Linked DNA regions of Coturnix japonica. The protein of the gene in region 6 interacts with the protein of the main gene of each other region in a biochemical or structural test. Links are inferred from orthologs where the notes say so. Each region holds a gene or a part of one and is shown on either strand. Other genes may lie near its edges. The genes, in order: SREBF1, CCNE1, NOTCH1, JUN, CUL1, FBXW7 and KLF5.

Region 1 (3,977 bases), on a different chromosome or scaffold from region 6:
GGGGGACAAAATGGGGCAGCTCATTCATTACAAACTAGACACCAAAACCTTGACAGTCCCAAAAAGCCCCTGTATTGAGGGCTGAGGAGCTGGGGCTGGGACGGGGAGGTGGCACATCCATGGTGCATCAAACCCCTCCAACCCCTGCACCATGTGCTGCCCCACTCACCCCCAGGCGGGCAGTAGGGCATGAAGAGTTAACCAGCATTAAGCCTGGGGGTCTGCCCTGCATCCCAGCACCCCGGGGCACTGGGGACATCCCCACTGACACACCCCAACACATCGGGCTGCTCTGAGAAGCCCCCATAGAGCGACCTTCATTTGGGCAGCATCCAAACACAGCGCGGTACCCAGAGATGCCAAAGTGACCCACGAGTGCCCCCAGACCCCAAGGGGCGCCCCATACACCCGGCAGAGCACGAGGAGCAGCAGGGGATACCTCCCAGCAGGGCGGGCAGGGTGAGATCCCGGTGTTGGCGGCTGAGCATTGCGCTGAACGCAGCGGGCTATTTTCAAACCATTTCCTCGCCTCCTCCCCACGTTCCCTCCCCGCTGCCGCCCGCGCCAGCCCTGGAGCGGAGCCGGCCGTGGGGTGATGTGACTCCGCCAATCGCTGCCCGAGCACCCGCCGGCCGCCCCCAGGCAGCCCCAAGGTGAGCGCAGCGCAGCGGGTCACTCGCGGGCACCCAGCAGAGGGTTACTCCAGGTCAGGCAGCATTAACTCCTTCACTGCGTGTCCCCACATCCCACAGTGACACCAGCGTCCCTCCGTGCATCCTCAGCCCGGGATACCCCCAGCCTCAGCGGGTGTTTGTATCCCATGGAGCACCCCCAGCCCTGGGACGCCTACATCAATGGGGAGCTTTTCCAAGATGAGATTTTCAGTGGGACCCAACCATGTCATCAACAAGGGCACAGGGACATGGAGACAGTGGTAAATCCACGGTGGGTCATGGCACTGCTGAACACGGATGGTCTCACCCCATGCATTGCCCCACGGGGCCCCTTACACCCTGCAGTATAAACACATGGGGATGGGGACACACAGAGCCCTTGGGATCACGCTCAGTGTGGAAGGGTACGTATAAGTGCCCGTCAGCAAAAGCTCTCCCTGTAAATAGCAGCAGCACACCCAGCCTGTCTCCATACGGAGTACAAGGTGTCAGGAAACACCCCCAATAGGGACATCCGCCCCCCACCTGCCCATCCCTCTGCTCCCTGCAGCTCATGGGCAAACAGAGGCCGCCGTGGTCTCAGCCCTGGTTTGTGTCCAAGGAGGGCAGAGGGGACGCCAGCCTCGCAGGCAAAGTCCTGCCGTGCACCGGGTGCATCAGGACACGCCGCTTCCCCTCCAGCGTGACAACGAGTTAAAGGTCACCCCGTGGGGCGACTGGGTTCAGCTCCAGCCTCGGCTGTCAGCGGAGAAGGGGATCCCAGCACCGACCCCACGAAGGGCCCGTCAGCCCCACGGGACGCTCGGGGGCTCTGCCGCCCCGTCCCCGCCCCGCTCCGTGCTCCACCGGCTCTGCCGGTCTGTGCTGGGAGCCTCGGGGCCCCGACGCGCACCGAGCCCGGGCGGAGCGGCACCACGTGCTGCCTGGTGCAGGTTGGCTGCTGCCTGCTGGGCTGGGCTGCGAGCTGCGGAGGGGGGTCCTGCTGGATGGGTCCAACTGGCACCTGAAAGAGCGTCTCATTGGCACCAGGGAGCGGGTCCCCCTCGGTGCTATGACTGGGTCCCACTGGCACTGGGGATCGGGTCCCCATTGGTGGCATGACTGGGTCCTATTAGCACTGGGGATCGGGTCTGCTTTGGAGACATCACTGTGTCCCATTGGTTTCGGTAAATGAGCCCCCTTTGGTGGCACGATGGGGTCCGGTCCCACTGGTACCAACGAGAGGGTCCCAGTTGGTGGCACGGTTGTGTCCAATTGGCACCGTCCCCATCCCGCAGAGCCCCCAGGAAGCAGCTCCAGCTCCGAGCGGCCCCGGGAGCCCCACGTTGTCCGTGAGCTGCGGGTCAGTTGTGGACCGGAGCCGGGGATGCCCCGCGGAGCCGCCCCACCCCCACCCGACGGCGGGGGAAGCCAGGAGGAACGACCGAGAGTAACCCCGGCGATGACGTCACGGCGGGGCGGGGCTGGCGGCGACACAAGGCTGAGCGATGGGGGAGGGGAACCGTCCCGGGACCGAACCCGCCGTGCGACCCCCACCCATATTACAGCCCCCAGCGGCCCGTCACCCCCCGCACCACGCCGAGCGCTGAGCTGCCCCCGAATGACACACGGTTTTACCGAGCGCGGTCCCCGCCCCAACCGGACCGGTTCTGCACCGGGTTCGCTCCGTCCGACCGTGCCCCGCCGCCCGGTACATCGCACCGACCGCGCACGGACGGTCCGTAACATCGCCCGGCCCCGCTGCCCCGCACCGAGCGCCGGTACCGCACCGAGCCGACACCCCGCGAGCACGAACCATTTCCCCGAGCAGCACCGAACCCGCCGCCCCGGCCCCGCCGCCTCTTCCCTCCCCGGCCCGATCCCGGTCCCGGTCCCGTCCGCACCGTCGATGTCGCTGAGCAGCGCCGTGTCGATGTCACTCGCCGCGCGGAGCTCCAGGGCCAACCCCTCCAGGGCGGCATCGTCGAAGCTGAGCGCGCTCATCGCGGCGGCTCTTACGGGCGGCGGAGCCTTTAGGACCGGGGAGGCCGCCCCAGCGGGGTCGGTCGCCGCATAATCCGGCGGAGGGACGGGGACGCGCGGCCGCACCGTGCCCCAACCTGCTGCCGGGGGGGGGGGGGCCCTGAGAGCGGCCGCCCCTCGTCCCGCCCCCCCCCCCGGGGTCCCCGCCCCCCCCCGGTAACACCGGGACCCGCTGCGGGAGCGCGCACGGACGGGAGCGGGGGAAGGCAGCGCTGCGGGGTGGGTGCGGGGTGCTGAGACCCTCCGGAGTGTTACGGAGCTGCGGGGTCGGGGAGCTGCAGGTTGGGGTCAATGAGGTTTGAGGGTGTTGTATTTTTAGGGCGCTGCGGTTTGAGGGTGATGAAGTTTTAGGGCCCTTTCTGGGTTCATCCTCACCCACCTTTTGTTTCAGCCCCGGGAACCATCCGGGGAAACAAAGCCCTGACAGTTGGCCCACCCAACCGAGGCTGCTCGTGGGGCAGATGGAGCTGGGGGTCTCCTGCACCGCTCCCTCCCCCCCCGCCCCCTGTGCAGCCCCGTGTGTTGTAGGGAACCGCGGGGCACCGCTGCGATACAGGACAGCGCTGCTCCAACATCCCCACCCGCAGCTGAAGACGCCCCATATCCCAACCCTGGGAGCCCACAACGCGCCATGGGGCGGCTCCGGGCGGCTGCGAATACAGGAATATCGGACCATATCGGACCGCTGGGGAGAAGCCGAGCTCCGTTCCCTTTTCCCGCAGGGCAGCGACGGTCTGTGGGACCCCACGTGTGTGTGTTGGGTGAGGGCACGGACCCCCAGTGGGCATCGCTGAGTGGGGCCGGGCAACGACCCGCATCACACAACGCGGGAGGGGGAATAGACGGCACCGACACGGCGCTGCTTTCCCGTTCCGTGCCCCCCGTGTACCCAGCCGGGCTCAGCACCACGCGCTGCCCCGCACCACGAACCGCAGCCCCCGAGGGAAGGAGCGAGCGGGGCCGCGCGGGGCGGGACAACCCGGGATGACGGTGATGGGAAAAACCCCGCCCGTAGAACCAGAGCGGAGCGGCCAATGGGAGCGAAGGGAGGAGTGGGGTGATCCGGCATCACGGAGCGGGGATGCGTGACATCACGGCGGCCCGGCGGGGATCCACGTGGGGCCGATCAGAGAGACGGGCTGAGAGGGGAGGAACCGCCCCGGGAAGAGACGGGAGGGATCACAGAGCGGGGAGGGACGGGATGGGGATGGGATGGATGGGGATGGGGATAGGGATAGGATGGGATGGATATGGGATTGTGGATAGGAGGATAGGGATAGG
Region 2 (3,500 bases), on a different chromosome or scaffold from region 6:
TTTTTTCAAATGAAATAGTATTTAGAGGATGGAATCGGTCTTACCTCTGCTATTTGTACAAATATTTGTTGTGGATATTGTGGCAACAATACCTCGTAAAGCTCATTTAAATAGGCAACTTGCAAGTAAATGTTTAGCCACGATACAACTGTCAGTGGATTTAAGTTCCAATTAAGAGCCTGCAAGAGTAGACATACACAGCACTTGAGTATTAACAAAGTGTTCCTAACTGAGACCACGCAGCTTTATTTACTCTAGGCAGTAAGCTGGGCAAGGCATTTTTGGAACACGCAAATCAATTCTTTCCCATACCTCCCTCCTGCTGATAGAAGGAAACAATTCATTTTGTTAAATACTTGTGTACTGATGGATGCTTTAAATCACCTGTTACCTAGAGGACACTGTTTTCTAATTAGAAATTGTCTCTTACCAGCACATAAGATTAACTGAGGCTCTTGCTTTTAGTCTGATTATGCTATACCTTTAAGACAAAAAAAGGACAAATTCCACTTTGAAATATTACCTTCATAATGATCAATTCCATACTGAGGATTTCATCTTCTGTACAAGCTCCATCTGTAACATAGGCAAACTGGTGCAACTTGGGTGGATAAATTTCCTGAGAGACAGAAAAAAAATCAAGTATTCAGTTAAACAAATAGGTCCTAACCAGTCCTCCCATGTACTGAGAAGAACATCCCAGTGCCACTCCAGCATTTCAAAATAGATAACAGGGGAAAAGAAGGAAAATAACCCTCCTTCCCATCCTAACTCATTGTGTTCTCCTCTGCCTTTAATATATATAGATTTCTTTTTCAGCCTCTCTGTGGATAGTTTTCACCTTTGACTTCTGATAGATCAGTACAACATGTATTGACTGACTGCATCACTGAGGTGCATACAGCATACTGTAAATGGCATCAGGATTATTTCAATGCAGCCTGTGGAAAACATCTTTTATCTCTTGTATTTAGATACAGCTCTACTGGTCACAGATGTTTGCACACCTACCAGGGTATACGGCCCTACAAAAGCTGTTAGAGAAACGACCTCAGGTCTTGTAAGTAGCAAACAAATATTAATTAACCACGGATACTCCAGTGAATAGGAAACAGATCACAGAGAGCCCCTCAAACACTGCCATCAGAACCAAGCTGCTTTTCAACATGAGGATACAACCTGGCCTAACTGCTCAACAAGTGTAAGCTTCACCTTAAGCAGAGTTCTACAATGAAGCCTAATGATTAAGCAGCTGTCTTAGTTCCAGCTGGGTTGGAAATACTTTCTTCACAAAGTCAGGTATGATGCTATGTTTCGCTTCCAGGAGAAAAACAATGTTGATTACACACCAATGTGTACATCTGCTGCTGAGCAGTGTTTTACGGAGCCAAGGCCATTCTCAGCAAAGGGCCCAAGGAGCTGGGAGGGAACAGAATTATGACAGCTGACTTAAACCAGCCAAAGGGATATTCCGTACCCTATGACATCATGCAGGAGGCGTTCGGAGGGGGTGGAAGTTCATCTCACTCTCTTCCACTGCTTGGGAGGCTAGCTGGGCATTGGCTGTGGGGCGCTGAGCAATTGCTTGCCCATTGCTTGTTATGCATGTGTATATATATATATATATACATATATGTTATACATATCTGTAACTATTAGCCTTCTTATTTTTTCTGTCTTAGTAAATAGTGTTATCTCAACCCACAAGTTATACATTTTTTCCCCCCTGATTCTCTCCCCCAGTGAGCCCACTGGGAAGGGGGGAGTGAGCAAATGACTGTGGTGCTGAGCCACCTGCTGGGTTCAACTACAACAGCAGCAATATAATTTGTGCTTAGGAACAAATCAAACATCAATAAGCCTCTTAAAAGACAAAGAGTGAGAAGTTTAGAAGCCCTATTTTAATAGCTCAGTTTGTGCCAGTAAATAAAAACGGCTTGGATTGTATTATCCAGTAGGTACTCCACCAACAGCAGAATTGCTACAAGTGGTCTCTGCATAGAGCAGCCAGCCAAAAACTCATTTAGCAACAATGATTAAAAACATTTTGAATGATTCTAACACTGAAGAGACTATTCTTTTAAAATAAAGATAGTGGTGTCTTAGCTAGCCCTAATTTTAGCCAAATCTAAAAATATAGGAAGGATTTTGAAAATAAAAGCTAGCCAAAATGCATTTAGTGTACAGTAAGTGCGCTGTTTGTCCAATCACATTTTTAAGTTTAGATAAACACCAGAGATATTTACCTCAAGCTTTGCTGCTATGAATAAAGAAGAGATCCCAATAAGTTGCAATAGTGTTTTTACAACATTCTGTTGTGTTGCCATAAACCTATCAAAGAAATCTTGTGCTAAATAAAAAGTTTCTCTATGAAGCTTGTAGACTTCGCAAACCTAGAGAGACAAAGATGAAGAACAGCGTTAGAGAGTCAACATCAGATGCTACAGATTTATTCAAAACACGTCTAGGTTTCTCAATTTCATATTTGACTTCTGCTTCACTGATACTAAACCTGACATGTTAACTAAGAGCAGGAGCTAAGCTGTTTCCTTTGACTCACAAGATGACCAGCACTACAGTAAATCCCCCCTCTCATGAAGATAAACCCAAGTGAAAGCACTTCTATGAAATGGGAGCGTGCTATGACAGTACTGGAACATCAGTTCCTCATATTCACAAACACGCATTATTTCAATACCTCAGATGAGAAAATTCTCACAACTGCTTTAGAATCAAGAGCAGAGATTATATCAAATCATTCAAACACCAAAAGTACTCCCATAAAGACAGCAGACTTGCTATACATTCTACAAGCCAATACCAGAGAAGAAAGTTCCAGGAGAACTTGTAGCAGCCTACGAGTATCTGAAGGGCCTACAAGAAAGATGGGGAGGGACTTTTTGTCAGGAAATATAGTGATAGAGCATGGGGTAACTAATGGCTTTAAACTAAAAGAGCATAAATTTAGATTAGATGTTAGGAAGAGGTTCTTTACGTAGAGCGTGGTGAGGCACTGAAACCAGGAAAGTAGTTGATGCCCCATCCTTGGGAGCACTCCAGTCCAAGCTGGATGGGGTCTTGGACAACCTGGTCTAGTGAAAGGTGGCCCTGACTATGGCAAGGAGTTGAAACTACATGATATTTATGGTTCCTTCCAGCCTGACCCATTCTATCACTCTATGTTGTGAGATTCATCTAGTCTATAAGACACCACACATTCCTAGTCACAGTAACTTAAATAATCACGCAGATTTAATCTGTTGCGTGACATTGAAGTTACCTTGTGGAGCTTTAGGGACAAACTGATTATTATACACAATTCATTTAAATTAATATCTCAATATACGGTCAGTTCACGTACCATCAAATCAATCCACCGTGTGCATATTTGAATACATATATTTAATTTGGTACCATTCATTGACAAACGTAATAAGAAGACAAGTAGCTAGTGCTACATGAATTATGAAACATCATGATAAGTGCAGATGACAGTTATT
Region 3 (3,978 bases), on a different chromosome or scaffold from region 6:
GAAAACAAGATTTAGAGCGTCACGCGTTGGTAAGGGCTTCTGTGCAGAAAAAAAAGTGGCGTGCATTCATTAGTGGCTCACAAAGGGACCCAGCCTTTGTCCATTAAATTGCTCATGTGCCTGATTGATTTGCTGATTTATTTTCACCAAAGGCTTTGGGGGGCTCCGTTTGGAGGAGGGGGGTGGGGGCTGCCCAGGCGCTGCGGGCAGAGTAACGGTACCCAGAGGCACAGAAAAGCAGCAGGCATTGTCAAGGAGAAGTGCCATTCAACAGGTCGGGGTTGGAAATGCCTTTGGGTTCCTCCGCCGAGAACTTCCTATTGGGAAACTTGGGGTGGGTGGGAACGTCTCCCAGCCCGCTCTCAGCTCAACCCGTGTTTAACAGGCAAAGGGGAAATCTGGCCGGAAAGCAGAGCCTTGCCCATTCAGATTTCTTTTATGGAATAGTTTTAAAAAGGGAACTGCACTCTTATTCATTTCTCTGGGTTATTGTTCCCTGGGAGCCCAGACTGAATCGGCCATCGCTGCGGTGGGTCGGGTGGTCCTTCAAAGGGACCCAAGGCTTTACACATCCGCTTCCCCACCATCAGCCTTGAGAACACCCCATGCCAGGAGTGGGCACGGATGGCAGCGTGGCACTGCCCCACAGACAGACACCCACACAACACAGCCACCCTTGGATGCTTATGGGAGATGCCCTGGATACTGCAGCACCAGCTGCCAGGGAATGAAGGACAACGCAATGGGGCCAGGAAGGGGGGGGGGGGTTGGAAGATAGACAGACAGCCCTCCCACCCCCCGTTGTCCCTCCCTCCTGCTCCATCAGTGGGGCACTCTGATGGGTTAACACCAGCCAAACGTGGCCCTCTGCCCATGTTTTTCCACCCAGCCAGGAACAAAGCCTGATCCTGCCAAACCCGCGGCGACTCCTACACCGGAGCAGGTTATTCTTGCCACTCAAGGAAAGAAAACGCATTTCGCCCTATTAAATCCAAAGCCTTCAAAGCAAAGTCAACAGGCACGTCAATGCTTCGGCTGAGGGAGATGGAAATCCTTCTGCTCCTCCATACTTACTGGCACACCTCCGTCCCATTGAGGAAAGTTTCACACTTGCCCCCGTTGAGGCAGGATTCAGCCAGTTGTGTACACCGCACACCTGTGAATAGAAGGAGAGCATCAGGCACAGCACAGAGCCCGGGGGTCTGCACCCCACTGCAGGGATGGCCTCACAGGGACCACGTTAATGGGCAGGACTACACTGCCCCAAGAGGAAAGGGGCGACCTAAAGTTAACCTGGGGTGGTCCTGGGGGTGGGCTCTGCCTGTTAAAGCAGGAGGGTGGATGGGGAGAAGCTCCGGGTCGGGTATTTGAGTGACAAATAGCACTTGGGAAAAACCATCTGCCTGCAGGGCCCGTGGGTCGCCACGAGCTCAGTCCCGAAATGAGTCGCTCGGCACAACTTGCTATGAGTAAAGGTTTCATTGTCTGGCCCTCGGAGCCGGATTCTGCTCAGTTACTACAGCAACTCGCTGAAAAGTACTAGAATCGCTTCCGATTTCCACCCCGCTTCACTCTTCCCCTTCTTCTGCCGCTCTCGGTGCAGTCAAAGCAGTTTCACACTGAGTGAACGCAGCGTCGCAACCCAAACCCCACCTCCCCCCGACGGCAGCGGAGCGTCCCCATCAGCCCCGGCGGACGGGCCGCGTTCTGCCCCTACAAACAGCGTCCCGAGAGGCTCCAGCTCTACTCGGTCCGTCGGGGCGGCTCCACTGCCCACCTCCCCCCTCCGGCCCCGACGGCAGCTCCGCACGTTGCGGCCCCGCACACGGATCCGCCCCGGGGCCGATGCCGGGGAGGAGGTGGAGGGAGGGAAGGGGGGGGGGGGGGGGGGAGGGGGGGGGGGGAGTTAAGGAAGGGGGGCCGAGGGGCACCCGGTTGACTTTCAAGAAACAGGAAACCGAGAAAAAATTTGCAAAACGGTCAAAAAACTCTCGCGGAACAACAACACGAGAGCGGCCAATGCGTGAGACTCCGTGGAGCCGAACCCCGTCCCGAGCTCCGGGACACACACAGCACTCGGGGCCGAGCACAGGGACACCCCCGCAGTGCTCAGTACCGAGCTCCGAGACCCCTCACAACCCTCAGAACCGAACACCGCGACCCCCACCGCCCTTAACACCGAGTTCTGGGCACCCCCGACGGCCGGTACCGCGACCCCGAGCGGTACCGGTAGCTCTGCCCGCCCGCAGCCCCGACGGCTCCGCTCCCCGCGGAATCCCCGCTGCACCGATCCCGGTTCCCCCCCGTCGGTTCCGGCCGCCCGGGCCCCGCGGTGCCGAACTCCAAAGTTCCGTCCCCGTTTCTCAGCCCGCTCCGCTCCCCCCGCTGCACTCCCGAGTTCCGGACCCTCCCGGCGGCTCCACGCTCCGCTTCCCTCGGACCCCCCGCCGCCTCCGATGGAAGCACCGCCTCGCCCCGCCGCTCCGAGCCGAGCTGCCGGCAAACTTCGTGCCGGAGCCGGGCCGGGGCCCTCACCTCGCGTCGGAGCGGGCAGCAGGGCCAGCAGGAGCCCGGTGGCCAAGAGCCGTTTCATCCCTCTGTGTTCCCACCGCTCACAGCCGCATAGATCCGGAGGCCGCCGGCCGAACCGGCTCGAACCGAGCGGAACCGAACGGAACCGGAGCCGTGCGGCGCGAGCCGGGAGCCCCGAACACACCGCGCCCCAAACGCCGAGAGAAACGACTCCGAGCGCCGGCGCCTCCCGCGGCCGCTCAGCCCCCGCGGGCCGGGCCGGGCCGGGCGGAGGGCGGAGGGGGGGCGGGACGGAGCGGGGCGGGACGGCGAGGAGCGGAGCGGGATGGGACGGAGCGGGACGCCCCTCCCTGCACGGCGTGGGGGGCAGCGCTGGGAGCCCACCCTGAGCCCACCCTCCCCACGGCCACAAAGCAGCTCCGGACGCTGCAGTGCGGTCGTCCCCGCGGCTCCGGTGCGGTCCCGGATAGTTCTGTATACACATCCATGGCTCCTTGCAGCTCCGAGCGCTGCTTTGCAGCCCCTGGGTAGTCCCGGTGCAGCTCTGACACACTTATGGAGCCCCTCCGTGTACCCCTCACAATCAGCCCTGGACCCGCTATACAGCCCCTCCGTGTAACTCCTGTATAGACCCCAAACAGCTTCGGGCTCTCCAAGCAGCCCCAGACACCCTAGTGCAGCGACCATGTAGCTCCCCCCATGCAGTCCCTGCATACCCCCGGTGCAACCCATCCCCTCAGTCCCAGTAGAGCCCCCCACCCCTGTGCAGCCCCATCCCAGGCCCTTACACAACTCCCTACAGCTCTGGTTCAGCCCCCCCTGCCCAGTGGGTCGCAGCTGCTGCTCAGGACCCCAACTGGGGTGAGATTCCCCCCAACACAGTGCACCACACCACTGACCCAGTGCAGGGGTGCTGCTGTGTTGCCCTGTGAGCTCCTGCACTCAGGGCAGAGCCCAGCCCATGTGCTGCAGCAGCAAACAAACAAACAAATGCACGAGGGGAGACGAGCAGCCAACCCTGCCATGCAGCCCTATGAGCTCCGGTCTGTGTGCAGGTCCCATTGCCCCCACCTCCAGCATCCAACACTGCCCTGGATCCTTCAGGATGGGAGTATGGGCACGTCCCACCCAAAACCCAATTGCGTTCTGGGCCTGGGGGCAGCCCCCTGTGCTGCCAGCACTGCTCCCCCCCACGGGGTCACCCCATGCAGTGTGCATGATTCCCATCGCATCTCAGCAGTGGCAGCAAATTGGAACCAGGCTTTGACTTGAGCAACCAGAATCGAGGCTTGAAACTCCTGTTTGTGTGTGGGGATGTGTGGGACGCCAAGTACTAGAAGAAGAAGAAGCAGAGGGGTCGGTGCTGGGCTGATGGTGAGGTGCTGTCCCACCTGTGCCCCCCCTCTCTCCTCCCCTATTGAAGGGCACCCCCACGCCAGCACTGTG
Region 4 (4,019 bases), on a different chromosome or scaffold from region 6:
TGTGTAAAGCTTAGGATGGAGCTAGGAAGCTGCTTCTAACACAGACGACTTTCAGAGGCTTTCCTATACACATGCAGTAACTGCTGCTGGAGCTACAGAGGCAGCTGGAATTACCTGCACACAGGTGCTCATTGCCTACCTGAAGGCTGTGCACACACCTGCAGCAAACACTAAGGCCCACATTTGTGGGCAAACTAATTCACTTGACTGTTAGCACAAACATGCACAGGTATTGGCTGTGTGATTCCAGCACATGGGTGAAGTGGATACACTGAGTGCAGCCAGGTGTGCACAGCAGGGAGGACCGGGAGATGACTCTATAAAAGGAGCAGTAACTTCTATCAGTCAGTGCATCCAGACATTCACTTTTAATTCACAGCTCTTTTTGATTCTGTTTATTACATTGCTCCCTCCCGTACTTTAAGTGCTAATTATGTTATTACATCTAGAAGAAAAAAAATAGCACTTAAGAGTTTTAAAGTGCATTTTCAAACCGAGACTTAAGTTTGTCAGCTTCGTATGTCACACAAAGCGATGGAGCCCAGCAGCGAAGCAGCAGCGGCAGCACTTGTTGCCCCGGGTTCCCGTCCCGTCCATCAGCCGAGCTGCGAGTCCCCGGTAGCTGTGGAGCAGCACAAACCTCCCTCCCCGACCGGATCCCTCCATCTCCAGCCGTTCCCCTTGGCCAAGCTGCGCTCACACACTAATACCAGCACAGCTCTACAACCGGGAGGACAACTTTAGGAAAACCCATCCAGAGCCAGGCTCCTTCCCGGCAGCTTTTTCCCCTCTCATACTTTGGGGAGCTCCCGGCCCTGGGAACAGACACAGCGCTCACCGCAGCGGCTGAAGGCAGGCGGGGCTGAGGGCAGCCGGGCCGCCCGTCCCCGCCCGCCGGGGCTCCCCGGGACGGGAGGAGACGAGGCCGAGCCGCCCCCACCCCAGCGCCGCCCGCCCTGCGCTGTGCCCCCGTGCGGGGCGGGGGCGGCCCCGGCGCTGTGCGCGCCCGCCCCGGCCCTGCCTGGAAGCGGCGGGGGCAGCGAGGCGGGGAAATCACGTGAGGGCTCCCCCGGAGCGCCACCTTCAGGGCCGTACCAACAACGGGACCGGGGGGGGGGAGGAGGCGGCGATGCGGCGGGACTCAACGCGACGTGGAACGGAGGAGCGCGGCCCGGCCCCGCCGCACGCAGCATCTCGGCCCCGAGCGCAGCACAACGCACGGGCTGAGGGCGCGGGGCGGCTCGGGGCGGCATCGCGGTGCCCCGGTACCCGGTAGGGCAGCGGTTGGTTGGTACGAGGCCGTCGAGCCGCCCAACCCCGCTCGGAGCTCGGGCCGCGGTAACCAGATATTCAAAAACAAGACGTCAGCCCACAATGCCCCGCGCCGCCGGCAGCATTACCTCATCCCACAAGGCCCCGCGCCGGCGCTGAGAAGCTTCTAGGGGCGGGGTGTCCATGGCGACCGGCTGCCATGCACCGCGCCGGGCCAGCGCCACGCCTCCCCCGGGACGGGCGGCGGCAGCCAATGGGGAGCGCGCGGGGTGACATCATGGGCTATTTTTAGCGGGCTCCCGGTCGCTGATAAGTGAAGGGCTGCACGGAGCGAGCGGGCTCAGAGCGGGGCGGGCGGCAGCGAGAATCAGCCGCCACAGCGGGCACGGCCGAGCGGAGCGCGGAGCCGGGAGGTACAAGCGGCAACGGCGGCAGGAGCGGCCCGGCCCGGCACAGCGCGGAGAGGCGGCCCGGGGAGCAGCACAGCGCACAGAGTACAGAGTACAGCGTACAGCGCACAGCGCACAGCGTAGGCCCGGCGGGCCCGGCCCGCGCCGGGAGGAGCGGCGTTGTCCCGGCGAGAAGTAAGGAAGGCTCCGGCTTGCTCTTTCCCCCCAAGCCGCTTGGCCGGGAGCGGTGTGGGGCGGCTCCCGGCGCCACTTTTTGGGCTCTGTTCTATGAGTGCAAAGATGGAGCCTACTTTCTACGAGGATGCACTGAACGCCAGCTTCGCGCCGCCGGAGAGCGGCGGTTATGGATATAATAACGCCAAGGTGCTGAAGCAGAGCATGACGCTGAACCTGTCCGACCCGGCCAGCAGCCTGAAGCCGCACCTGCGGAACAAGAACGCCGACATCCTCACCTCCCCCGACGTGGGGCTGCTGAAATTGGCCTCCCCGGAGCTGGAGCGGCTCATCATCCAGTCCAGCAACGGGTTAATCACCACCACGCCGACCCCGACGCAGTTCCTGTGCCCCAAGAACGTTACCGACGAACAAGAGGGGTTTGCCGAAGGCTTCGTGAGAGCGCTGGCGGAACTGCACAACCAGAACACGCTGCCCAGCGTCACCTCGGCCGCGCAACCTGTTAGCGGTGGCATGGCACCTGTGTCCTCCATGGCCGGCGGCGGCAGCTTCAACACGAGTTTGCACAGCGAGCCCCCGGTGTACGCCAACCTCAGCAACTTCAACCCCAACGCGCTCAATTCCGCACCCAACTACAATGCCAACGGCATGGGCTACGCGCCGCAGCATCACATAAACCCCCAGATGCCAGTGCAGCATCCCAGGCTTCAGGCTCTGAAAGAAGAGCCTCAGACTGTACCTGAAATGCCGGGGGAAACCCCTCCCCTGTCCCCTATTGACATGGAGTCGCAGGAGAGAATCAAAGCCGAGAGAAAACGCATGAGAAACAGAATCGCGGCGTCCAAATGCCGGAAAAGGAAGTTGGAAAGGATTGCCAGGTTGGAAGAAAAAGTGAAAACTTTGAAAGCCCAGAACTCAGAGCTGGCATCCACTGCCAACATGCTCAGAGAACAGGTTGCACAGCTTAAGCAGAAGGTCATGAACCATGTCAACAGCGGGTGCCAGCTAATGCTAACACAACAGTTGCAAACGTTTTGAAGAGACTGACTTCAATAGGAACTGTGATGTTGTGGTATAACTAAACGACAAACCAAAAGCGGCGGACGCGTAAAGCTCACGGTAGAAGCTGGGAGGCTGTGAGTCCTGCCTGCGTGCTGCAAAGCACATGTGTGCAAAGACTGGGCAGCCTTCAGCTCGAGTTGGTGAAGCAGCCGGCACCGCTCCGAGGTGCTGATCCTGCTCCCATGAGGCGACAGATCTTCGTTTAACATTGACCAAGACCTGCATGGACCTAACATTCGATGATCATTCAGTATTAAAGGTTAAACTGCAATAGAAACTGTAGATTGCTTCATGTAGTATTCCTTAAGAAACAAACAAACAAACAAAAAGCGGGAGGGAGGTTTGTGGGAGGCTGATAAACAACCAAGAACTGTTGTTCCTGCCTTCAAGTAAATGGTGTATGTACATATCCTTTTTTATTTTATTTTATGAAAGTTGATTAATGTCAATAAACTACTTCATGACTTTGTAAGTTATTTTTATGTTGTTTATTTGGGTACTGCCCAGTATTGTTTGTAAATAAGAGGCTTTTTTTTAGCACTCTGAGTTTACCATTTGTAATAAAGTATAATTTTTTTAATGTTTCTGTTTCTGGAAAAAATCTAGAAGGTTCTATTATATTTAAAAAAAAATAAAATACTTAAAATGCATTTCCTCCTCACACCTTTTTCATTATTATTATTATTATTATTATTGCTAGTATGTGAGTTAGGAAAATGCCCTTAATGCTGGACTCTAAAGGGCAGGGATTATGTGAAACTCGCTCTGTAAGTGCAGGCATGTCCTGGAGAACGTGTGAGGAGGAGACGGGGGGAACCAGATCCTGAGCACTGAGCAAACAGAACTTTTTGAGTTGTCTGGGAGTTCCAGTTCCTAACCTTAACCTGGGAGGTTATTGTGTGTTGTAGTGGCCCTGCTGGGGCGGCTGACTTTGGCTTTAGGCAGGCTCTAGAGATGGTAGAAAGCCGGTGTGTGAAACTGCTTTGCACTTGTATCTGGCTGCTTGTGCTCTTGCATGCTTTTTATTAAGCCAATGCCCTCGAGCAGGATCAGGCAAGGGGCTGTTTGCTTTCCTTTGCAACAAAAGTGCTCTAGACTTCA
Region 5 (3,133 bases), on a different chromosome or scaffold from region 6:
TCTTTTCCAACCTGAGCAATTCTATGACTAAGGATGAACTTGAAGGTATTTTTCATTACTTCATGTAGAAGTATTTAAGAAGTAGAGGGGACAGAGAAAGTAGATAGAATAAGGTAGTCCAGTTGGAACAGGCATTCAAAGACCACATTACAGTTGCCTTTCTTTTTCAGGGCTAACCAAAAGGAAAAGCACATCAATGTAGATGTTTTCTAGTTGTCCCTTGAACACTTGACAGTCTTAGTTGGGGAATCAACCACCACTGAGATTATAAATGTTCTACTCAAAGAATGTCTCAGTAAAAATAAATACATATGTAAGATTTCATGTTATACAAATATTTTATTTTGGTGGTGGTGGTACTGTTGTTCTTACTGATCCCAAGTAACATAGTTCTTAAAATTCCTATGTGAGAAACACTTGATGACTGTATTCTATGTAAAGTCTGAGTTCTAAAAATCAATGTGAATAGTTGGCGCTCTGTAGTTGTACAGGAACTGCTAATTCAAGGCCTGATTGTACCCCTAGTGAAGGGACACAGCCAGCCCTGGGAGTACAGGTGAAAGCAATTCAGGTTCCACCCCTCCCTAAGCCTCATTTAAGGGCTGGCTGCCACAAGGGAAGGATCTCTACCTGGAGATTCCTCCTTTTGGAGTATTTGGTGAGCCCTGATCCTTGGGATGGGTAAGCAAATCTTTCTTTGCTTGTGACCATCACCCTTTTTTAGGTAGGTTAGAGCTGGTTATCTGCCATTGCCTTTTCCCGCAGTAGATAAGTGTATCCCCACCTCCTGCTGAAGTTATTTTTACAGTGCTACTGTGGTAGTAGATGTGATCCACTGGAGAAATAAATTGGCTTTATGCAGGAAAAGCTTCTAAGCTTCTCTTTCTGACTTTGCTGTGCAGGCTGCTATTGTAAGAATTATGAAAATGAGGAAGGTTCTAAAACACCAGCAACTACTTGGAGAAGTGTTAACACAGCTGTCCTCAAGGTTCAAGCCACGAGTTCCAGTAATTAAGGTATGTGAGAATGATTGCTCTAACCCTATGTTCCTGGTGTTGAGTAGGATTAAATATAGCTTTCTGAATTAAAAAAGGAAAGCAAAAAAGACATCTTCAAAGGCATGGCATGGCAGTTGGCTTGGCAGTTTGTGTGGGAGGGTGTTGCCACTATGGTTTCCAGTAGTGGCTGTAATCTGCTTGTGAAGAGCTCCACCATGGCATCCATCCAGAAGAAAGTCATGTTGTCTGTGTCTCATGTGGCCTCGAGCCAGAGGAAGCAACGTGGCCACACAAATGGAACTCCTGAAGGAACACATGGCCATCCAGGTCTCAGGCACAGGGTGTGGCAAAGTCCTCAGCCAGTGGCTGTTGGTAGCAGTGAGTACACCTGTGGAAAAAGCACCCACGTTAAAGAGATGCTTAGCCTGTTGGTGGGGCTTTGGGAGGATATGGTCAGGCTGAGGAGCATCAGGAAGTCAGAAAAAGAGATGCAACAGACTCTGCGCTCTGTCGCTCCTGAAACAGACTCATCAGCCACTCAATGTAAGAAATAAGGGCTACTTTGCCCTCCCACACCAGGAAGAAAGGAGCAGATCTAAGAGATGGGGGGAATGGAAGCAAGTTTCCTTCCACATCTACCTCACTTTCCCAGATGCCCTTACACATTAGGGACAAGCAAATGACTGTGTGGATAAAAGTGCATCTGAGTTGGAGGGGTCATGTAGGGCACATCAGCCTACTCCGCATATCATGACAACTGCATTTAAAAAACAAAACAAAACAAAAAGGCTTTTTCTGCAAATGATTCTTTCCTGTGTGAGAAGATGGCCAAGCCTACTGGTGATTAAACTATGAAATGTCATGGCACTGCCACTCAGAGTGTACTGCATGCTAATAAGATCCGTAATTCTGCTTCATGAGGTTCTGAGTACCATGAAGCACATCTGAAATGCATCTACACTACTGGCATTCAGCATGAGGAACAAGCAGGAAGTGACAGTTAGAAGCTCTTCAGAAGAGACAAGCAGGGTGAGTGAGGTGATGAGGTGGTATTTTTGTAATGAAGGGAAAAGACTGTACAGAGCTGTCATTTGGGAATGATGTGGTTGACAGCCTCTGGGTCAGGATTAAGGGACAAGCAAATAAAAGAGATGTCATTGTGGGAGTTTGCTGTAGACTACCCAGCCAGGATGACAACACCAATGAATTATTCTTTAAGGAACTAAGAGAGACATCTAGATCAACTGTCCTCGTCCCTAATGGGGGACTTCAGTTTCTCAGGAATTAACTGAGAACACCACACATAATACAAACAGGTCCAGGCGGTTCCTAAAGCGCTTGATAACAGTTACCTGGTACAGGATCTTATGAATAAAGATGGCCTCCTAGATATGTTGGTTGTGAACAGAGAAAATCTAATGAGTCGAGTGGTACTTGGTGACCATTTTTGTCTTAGTAACCATGAAGTGATTGAATTTTAAATCCTTGGTGACTGGAGGAAAGTTGCCACCAAAACTTCAACTGTGGGTATGGGGAGAGCAGATTTCAGGCAGCTCAGGTAAATAGTAAAGTCCCCTAAGAAACTGCTTTTGAAGGCATTGGGGTTCTTTACTGCTCATCGATTTCAGCTTGGCTGAACAGGGCTATTCTTCTAGAGAACCTTAGGCAGGAAAAGAAAGTGTATTATCACTAAAAGCGAGGGTCAGGTAACATGAGAATATTACAGGGATGCTGTAGGGACAGGGACAGAGAGAAAATTAATGTGGTGGGAGCTTGGTTACAAGTTGAGGCTTGCAAATACTAACTAAATATGTTACCAGCAAAAGGGGAGAACCAGGAGGAGTGTTATTTTGTTGAAAATGGTCACCTTACAAATGTGGCATAGTTGGATGCAGTCTTGACCTCTGTCTTCAACACTAATGGTGAGCTCAGGCATTCCACGTGCCCCACTTAGGCTGAAGGTCTGTGACTATGGGGATGATTTTTTGCTGAAAGTTGTGTGGGGTTTTCTGCTCTTCATGGATGCATGTAAGTCTATTGTACCTGATGGGATTCATCACAGGGTACTGGCTGATACCATCACGAGACCTGTCTCAGTTATTTTCCAACAGTCTCATGAATCTGGGGAGGTCTCA
Region 6 (3,944 bases):
ATATGGAATTTGCTCTTCTGTGTTTTAGGATAACAACACGACCAAGTGCTTTTTTATTGTATTTTTTATTTTTCCCCATATGCTGTGAGACTTTCTGGCGCACGGCCACCTCACACGCTTAAGGAGCAGTTATTAAATCCTTTTATTTTTTGCTACCTTCCATAATGCAGACTAGGTGAACTCGTTAAGGTCCCATATAACGACCGCCCCGTCACAGACGGCAGACACTGCTGGAACTGCTATTGGGCTTGAGATGTAGGGACACGTGCAAGCATTGCTCTGATGACAACTCGCTGACACACGCTGCAGACCGTGGGTCGGTCTCCATAGCAGCGCCAACGCGCGGCCCTCCCGGCGGCGGGGCGGGGGCACGCGCACGTGCAGGCGTGCAAGGCCTTAGCACCTCCCCGCCCACCGCTCCGCGCTCTCTCTGTCTGTGGCTCCGCCCCTCGCGGCGGGAAGGAGGCGCGTCCATCCCGCGCGCAGCCGCCGTGCTCGCTCGGTGCCTCGCGGCGCCGCCTCCTTGTCCCGGGCTGAACCGTGCTGCCGCGGCGCTACCTGCAGGGCTCCACCTTGCCCTCCGAGCGCGTCATCGCCCCGCGCCGCCACGGGGAGAGAGCGGGCGGGGCGTGTTGCCGGGTTACGGCTGTCATCCGCGCGCGCCGCCGCGCTGCTCGCTCGTTCGCTCCCTCTCTCTCTCTCTCCCTCTCTCTCTCTCTCTGTGCTGCCCGCCCGCCCGCTCTCCCCGCCCCCTCTCGCCGCCGCCACCGCGAGCAGCGGACCCCGGGGCGCCCCCCGCGCCGCCCGCACATGCCGCAGAGCGCAGCGGCCGCGTTGCCGCTCCCCGCCGCCCGGCTGGGCCTCTAGCGGCCCCCCCGCCGCTGCAGCCGGGCCCGGAGTGCATGAGAGGGGGAGCGGGCCGGCGGCGGCCCCAGCCACTCGCCTCCCGGCCGGCCGCGGCGGCGGCGCAGCGCCCGGCCCGGGGGGCAGCGAGGGGCGGCGTCGGCCCCATGTGAGGAGGGGCGGCGCCGCTGCCGCCCAGCCAGCCCGGGGCCCGGCCCCGACAGCGCCCCGCCGCAGCGGGGCTGGACGCGGCCGCCCCCGAGAAGCCGCCCGGGGCCCCGCGGCGCCGGCAGCCCCGGGGCGGGGGGCGGCGGCCGGTCCCTTCCTTACCGCCGGGCGGGCGGGCGGGCGGGCGCGCACGGAGGCAGCCGAAGGACAACCCGCAGGAGCACGGCCCGACAAGTGAGTGAGTACCCGGGAGGGGGGGCACCTCTCCGCCGTTCTTTGTGTCCGGCGGCGCGGCGCGGGACGCCGAACAAAGAACGTGGCCGGCGGGAGCGGGGCCGGGCCCGCCTCGTGTGCTCGGGAGGGGGAACCTGCGGCACAACGTGCCCGGTCGCAACGAGCGGCCACCGAGTGCGGTGTGCGTGCCGCGTGCTCGTGCGCTTTTAAAGCCCGAAGTTGGCGCTTTGTGAAGAACTTCTCTACAAGTGATCTGCCCGTGAGGCTGGGGAGCCGCTTCTGGGGCCATCCCGGTCTATGGGGATGGGTTTTGTGGGTTTCTCCTTTTTCCCTTATTTTTTTGCATTTTTGCAGACTATGATTTTCCTCTGAGCGGAAACAACAAGAACCCCCAAAACAAACAAACATAAAACCACCCCAAATCAATAAAAAAGGAAACAAAACCAGAATTGCTGTAGTGGACTGCCTTGTGCTTAACCGGAGAAGATAACATGTAGTTATTCAGTGCAGAAAGCAAGCTCTGTCCATCCCTTCTGAGTTTTGTTCCTCCTGAGTTTACTCTCACACACCGCTGTCTCACCTGGGAGAGCAGCTCAGGTGCTGTTTGTTTGCAGTGTTCAGACACAGGTGCAGGAGCCAGTTCTGCCCAAACTGCTCGTTGTGTGTTTGCCATTGGCCCTGGTTCCTGTCTCCAGCCTGGGAAGCAGAAGGGAATGCAGAGGTAGGCAGTGCCCCACACGTGTGTCGGCTTCTCTTTGAGATGTAACTTTCTGGCAGATGGGAAGAGTCTATTTTAGGCCAAGATATCTCCCTGTCTTAAGCTCCTTGTTGTCATTGCAGTCTTAAAAAGGTGTGTGCCTGTGTGTGGGGGGAAATGAAGTCTCCGTTTAGATGAAGTTTTGCTTTTCTTGCCCCAGGAGCCAGAGGTTGGGAAAGGAGTTTTCCTTCAGGTCACGGTGCTGAAGGGATGGTTGGTGCTTTTGTCCACTGCCTGTAGGAGTCAAAAGACACCGCATCTCCCCCTGCTCTGCTGTGGAGATTACATTTGCTTTTATGTCACTTCCTGGTTTCAAACTTAAATTTGCCCTTTGCTGTTCCGCTGTCCTGTTTCTAATAACATCCCCATGCTGCCTGTTGGCAGCCCCAGAGCGTTCCTGTGGGGGTTCCAGGCACACACATATCTCAAGAGAATATATGGCATCATGCTATTAAAATGTTTTTTTGGGGGGTTTAGGTAACTTTTCCTATTCTAGCTCATATCTAATCAGAGCAATTCTACTAGCATCTGTTGCACTAGCATCTGTTTGGTAGCAGAGATATTCCTTTTCAGAAGGTGCATGAGTTCGGTCTGTATCAGCTTTTTAGAGGGGCTTTAGAAAAAGATGTCATTTATATCTTCAGACTGACTCTCAGATCAAGTTCTTTCTTCCCCCTGCGTATGCATGCTTTACTTTGAAGAAGAACTTCAGTAGGATTTCTTCTCTGAGCTCTCAGGATTGGAACGTGTGTGGTGGTTTAGGCCCGCTGATGTCATTGAACCAAGTTCTGTCTCTTTAAGGAAACCAAGCATCTTTTAGTCAGCGTTAGTCATGTAGTCTGTGTGAAGTTCAGGCTGCTCTTAGCAAATGTGTTTAATCTTTTCACTGTTCCTCTTAAGAACACAGTCACACTGAGTTTACGTGCATCACATTTGAAATGAAAGTGCTGTTAAGCTGAAAAAGCTGAAGTATCTTCAGCTTTCTTTGATGCAAGTTGTGTGTATCAGGTAATTCCTGGAAGAGATGACATGAAATGCTTGTAGTCACTCCTGCCAATACTCTTCTGTGTTAAAAGGACTGTAGCTATTTGCAGAAACTGGGGGGTGAGTCTGCACTAACACATCTCTCATAGTTGCTCGATAGACTGAGGATGCTTACGAGGATTCTACAGACCTGTGTCAGCAGAGATGCGAGATGTTTGTTTGATGAGGGCTTGTACACATGCAAGTTTAGAAATCAGCTGATTGTTAACAAAATTCTTGGTCTTGCGGTTTGGTGGCACAGCCGCTGGTGCTGCTGGAAGCTGTGCTGGCTTAAACCAAAGGCTGGCTGGGCCCGCTGCCCTGCGGTCACCCCTGTGTGAGCAGCAGCGTGCGCTGCTGGCTGCTTTCCTCACGGCACCCTGCCCATGCCTGTCCCCTTGTGGCTTTGGCTGCTTCGTTCTGGGCATCCAGCCTCGTGGTGGCTTGTTCTCATGTGAATGGGGCTTGGAGGGAAGAGGAGATATGGTTTATGTAAGTAAGCGCTTCCACTTGTCAGCCCATATCTCTGAAGTTTATGCTTAAAAAATCCCCCGCGCCCTTCTCTTTGAAATAGTGGTTATCTTATGAGAGTTCTACCGAAATTATTCATGATGTCATGTCTTAAGGTATGAGCAGGTATCTTACTCTGTTACTAACTCAACATGTTACCATCAGCTAGAGAGCCTGGTGCTACAGCTTGGCTAGTAAGAGGAGATGTGAAATACTTCTTGTTCAAAACAAATATGTTTAGCTCAGATCATTTTTGCATTGTGAGCTGAGGTGGTTGGCTTCTCACTGAAGGATGAGGAGTCTGCATATATGCTTTTTCACTGGCAGAATACCGATGTGATTTCAGCAGTAAATGTTCAGGTGCAGGTTACCTATGGGAACAAGTTTTGTACTCAGACAGCTGTTCTGC
Region 7 (2,545 bases), on a different chromosome or scaffold from region 6:
TTCCAATAAAAAATACTGAAAAGGAGATGTGGATTGTTGGGGGGGACATGACATTGAATAAGACTTCTTTGGGACCCTCCTGTTTTTCTGGGACATGAAGGGGACTTTGGGAGGAGAAAGTACTTTTGGGCAACACTAGATGGGTGTGAACAGCTTTTACCCATTTTGAAAGTAGGAGAGAACTCCTATAGTTCTTGTATACATGCCATGAGTATTTTTCCTTTCCAGCTACGTGTCTGTGGATGGACTACTGGAATTATTTTCAGGCTACTGCACAATTCTGTTAAAGTTCTAGTGGCAGAGAAGAGCCCTGAAGTAATAATCTTTTCACATTTATTATTTTAAAGAGGGCTGGACACAGAAGGGCAAGGTACTTTCCAAAGAGACAATCCCTCCTATAAAGAACAGCCATTCTTGGCTTTATATTGCTGCGATTTCCAGCTCATCCTGCAAAAACACAAAACTTACAATTGTCAGGAGCTACAGAGAACACACAAACGCACATTAGGCACTTTGTTTTATTTTGCAAAAAAAAAAAAAAAAAAAGTCTTTTATATATAAACCATTTCATTCTCTCTCAAAACATTCTACAACTATACAGCTGTTTGCTCCAACATTTGCATAGGAAATACCACAATACAAAAATAAGGTAGGGGGGAGGCAAAAGAAGCAAAACAGCAACCAATTTATGCATGTGTTTCCACGTATAAACATTTGAAGCCTTAGAAAATTATTTACATCATTTGTCAACTATTTACATTAAGAGCAACATTTCTAACTATAACAAACAAAACTATAATTTATCAAGTATATGTAAAATTGTCTTAAAAAAAAAGTCTATCATATACCACAAATAAATAAAGACAAACAACAGTTTTCACAACGCTAGATTTTCCTGCGAGACCCTTTTTTGGTATTTTGATTGTTTATTTTACCCTTTGGTTGACAGCTTAATATTACAGCTTGTGAACTCCAGACACTTTTACTTGGTTTGTTTCGTTTTCTCCTGTTGCCTGGCCAAATCCTGCACAGGCTAACCTCATCTTTGGCCCTTCACTTAATGTTTCAAGGCTGAACACTGTGGATCAAAGTCACTGTTAGCATAAAAGGGCACCACTTCACTGACTTCAGTGGAGTTTCAGCTACCTTTGTCAGCAGTTAATTTTCCCCCGTGCGTATCCATTTGAACAGTGGATTAACTAAACTGCACTGTAATTTTAAATAAAATTACTGTATCCTTTACCTTCTAGTAAATTACACGCAATGTCCACATGAAAACAGATCATACTGGTGCTGAACCAGCTTAGTATGTCCGTATATGAAAATTGCATCCTAAATCCTTCTTTTTAAAGTGATACTAAGTTTAGCTTATAGTAAGAGGTTTAACATTCTTTATACTGTAACTACCCCCCCGTTTAAGCTTCCAACGTTTACTTTCCAGTTCACTTTAAATGTTTTACCCTTTTAAGAAATTTGAAAACAAAATCCTGCTTTGAATATTCAGTGCACACAATCTGAGTTAACAGGTACAAAACATCCGAATGCCTTGCTCATTTCTCTCAAGAGAAATGAAGCTAAGTTGGTACTGGTTTGAGAGGTATTTAAATAACTTTTAGTGTAAATGTGCCGTGTTAACAAATGTAAAACAACTGTGTTTTTTTTTTGTTTGTTTTTTTTGTTTTTTCCAAATAATTCTTAGAAAACTTTTGTTTTAACCCTAAAAAGCTGATTTGCATATTTACAAAATCTTTGTCATAGCAAACATGCAACATACAGAACAAAATGTTTTGTTCTATGGCTGTTTATGAATTTTTCTACGTATTTCATCTCCACAGAACGACTTAACATTTAAAAAAAAGTACAAGTACTAAACAAGTCCAGTAAAACCCTGACAGATTACAATGCATGGCTTTTCCACTGTGTCCATTCATCTATAGTCTCTCATTAATTTGTTTACTAAACATCGTCACCATAATGACACTGCTTTGGTCAAAACACCTAGAGAGAAAAAAAAAATATGTGTAATGCTGCCGTGTGTCAAGACATAATACTTGTAAAGAGATGAAACCTGCTGACTAAAGCCATATACACCATGTGAGCAAACAAATGACTTGAACACTCTGGTACTGTGATAGTGTCTTCCCTTTTTCTGCATAAATATACAAAATATACATTTTCCAGTTTTGAGATTTCTTTTAAATGGATAATCCATCCTCAAAAATTAAACTAATTTTAGTTGTAGGTTGAGAGTCATTAGGAAATTGCATAGATACAGAACGGCCTCGGCAACAACTATGGCTCTCAGTTCTGATGCCTCTTCATGTGCAGAGCCAGGTGATCAGAGCGAGAGAAGCTGCGGTTGCACACGGCGCACTGGAAGGGTTTAGCCCCGGTGTGCTTCCTGTAATGGCGCGTTAATTCGTCCGAGCGCGCAAATCGCCAATCACAGCCCTCCCACGTGCACTTGTACGGCTTTTCACCTGAAATCAGACAGAAGGAAGAGAAACGTCAGCTGTGCATCTTCTGAAGAGTGCCGACACAGGGT

What was found.
Region 1: the proteins of FBXW7 (region 6) and SREBF1 form a complex in vitro, tested with the Homo sapiens proteins (3 studies listed by BioGRID, with this or other methods). The link is inferred for Coturnix japonica from reciprocal best matches to the Homo sapiens genes FBXW7 and SREBF1.
Region 2: of the proteins of FBXW7 (region 6) and CCNE1, one has a biochemical effect on the other in vitro, tested with the Homo sapiens proteins (18 studies listed by BioGRID and IntAct, with this or other methods). The link is inferred for Coturnix japonica from reciprocal best matches to the Homo sapiens genes FBXW7 and CCNE1.
Region 3: the proteins of FBXW7 (region 6) and NOTCH1 form a complex in vitro, tested with the Homo sapiens proteins (2 studies listed by BioGRID and IntAct, with this or other methods). The link is inferred for Coturnix japonica from reciprocal best matches to the Homo sapiens genes FBXW7 and NOTCH1.
Region 4: the proteins of FBXW7 (region 6) and JUN form a complex in vitro, tested with the Homo sapiens proteins (3 studies listed by BioGRID, with this or other methods). The link is inferred for Coturnix japonica from reciprocal best matches to the Homo sapiens genes FBXW7 and JUN.
Region 5: the proteins of FBXW7 (region 6) and CUL1 form a complex in vitro, tested with the Homo sapiens proteins (3 studies listed by BioGRID). The link is inferred for Coturnix japonica from reciprocal best matches to the Homo sapiens genes FBXW7 and CUL1.
Region 7: the proteins of FBXW7 (region 6) and KLF5 form a complex in vitro, tested with the Homo sapiens proteins (2 studies listed by BioGRID, with this or other methods). The link is inferred for Coturnix japonica from reciprocal best matches to the Homo sapiens genes FBXW7 and KLF5.

The regions. Positions count from the first base shown.
Region 1 is NC_029529.1:4,939,236-4,943,212, forward strand, and holds the start of SREBF1 (sterol regulatory element-binding protein 1), read right to left. Parts: upstream 2,801-3,977; 5' UTR 2,658-2,800; coding exon 2,558-2,657; intron 532-2,557; exon of another isoform or gene 489-531; coding exon of another isoform or gene 440-488; intron 1-439.
Region 2 is NC_029526.1:7,180,333-7,183,832, reverse strand, and holds part of CCNE1 (G1/S-specific cyclin-E1), read right to left. Parts: intron 2,394-3,500; coding exon 2,247-2,393; intron 620-2,246; coding exon 524-619; intron 180-523; coding exon 45-179; intron 1-44. UniProt on the Homo sapiens protein: Essential for the control of the cell cycle at the G1/S (start) transition.
Region 3 is NC_029532.1:6,303,606-6,307,583, reverse strand, and holds the start of NOTCH1 (neurogenic locus notch homolog protein 1), read right to left. Parts: upstream 2,801-3,978; 5' UTR 2,594-2,800; coding exon 2,536-2,593; intron 1,157-2,535; coding exon 1,075-1,156; intron 1-1,074. UniProt on the Homo sapiens protein: Functions as a receptor for membrane-bound ligands Jagged-1 (JAG1), Jagged-2 (JAG2) and Delta-1 (DLL1) to regulate cell-fate determination.
Region 4 is NC_029523.1:23,599,187-23,603,205, reverse strand, and holds JUN (transcription factor AP-1), read left to right. Parts: upstream 1-1,425; 5' UTR 1,426-1,949; coding exon 1,950-2,894; 3' UTR 2,895-3,519; downstream 3,520-4,019. UniProt on the Homo sapiens protein: Transcription factor that recognizes and binds to the AP-1 consensus motif 5'-TGA[GC]TCA-3'.
Region 5 is NC_029517.1:75,402,806-75,405,938, forward strand, and holds part of CUL1 (cullin-1), read left to right. Parts: intron 1-902; coding exon 903-1,016; intron 1,017-3,133. UniProt on the Homo sapiens protein: Core component of multiple cullin-RING-based SCF (SKP1-CUL1-F-box protein) E3 ubiquitin-protein ligase complexes, which mediate the ubiquitination of proteins involved in cell cycle progression, signal transduction and transcription.
Region 6 is NC_029519.1:29,877,821-29,881,764, reverse strand, and holds the start of FBXW7 (F-box/WD repeat-containing protein 7), read left to right. Parts: upstream 1-1,144; 5' UTR 1,145-1,245; exon of another isoform or gene 1,246-1,249; intron 1,250-3,944. UniProt on the Homo sapiens protein: Substrate recognition component of a SCF (SKP1-CUL1-F-box protein) E3 ubiquitin-protein ligase complex which mediates the ubiquitination and subsequent proteasomal degradation of target proteins.
Region 7 is NC_029516.1:140,002,837-140,005,381, forward strand, and holds the end of KLF5 (Krueppel-like factor 5), read right to left. Parts: intron 2,481-2,545; coding exon 2,302-2,480; 3' UTR 501-2,301; downstream 1-500. UniProt on the Homo sapiens protein: Transcription factor that binds to GC box promoter elements. Activates the transcription of these genes.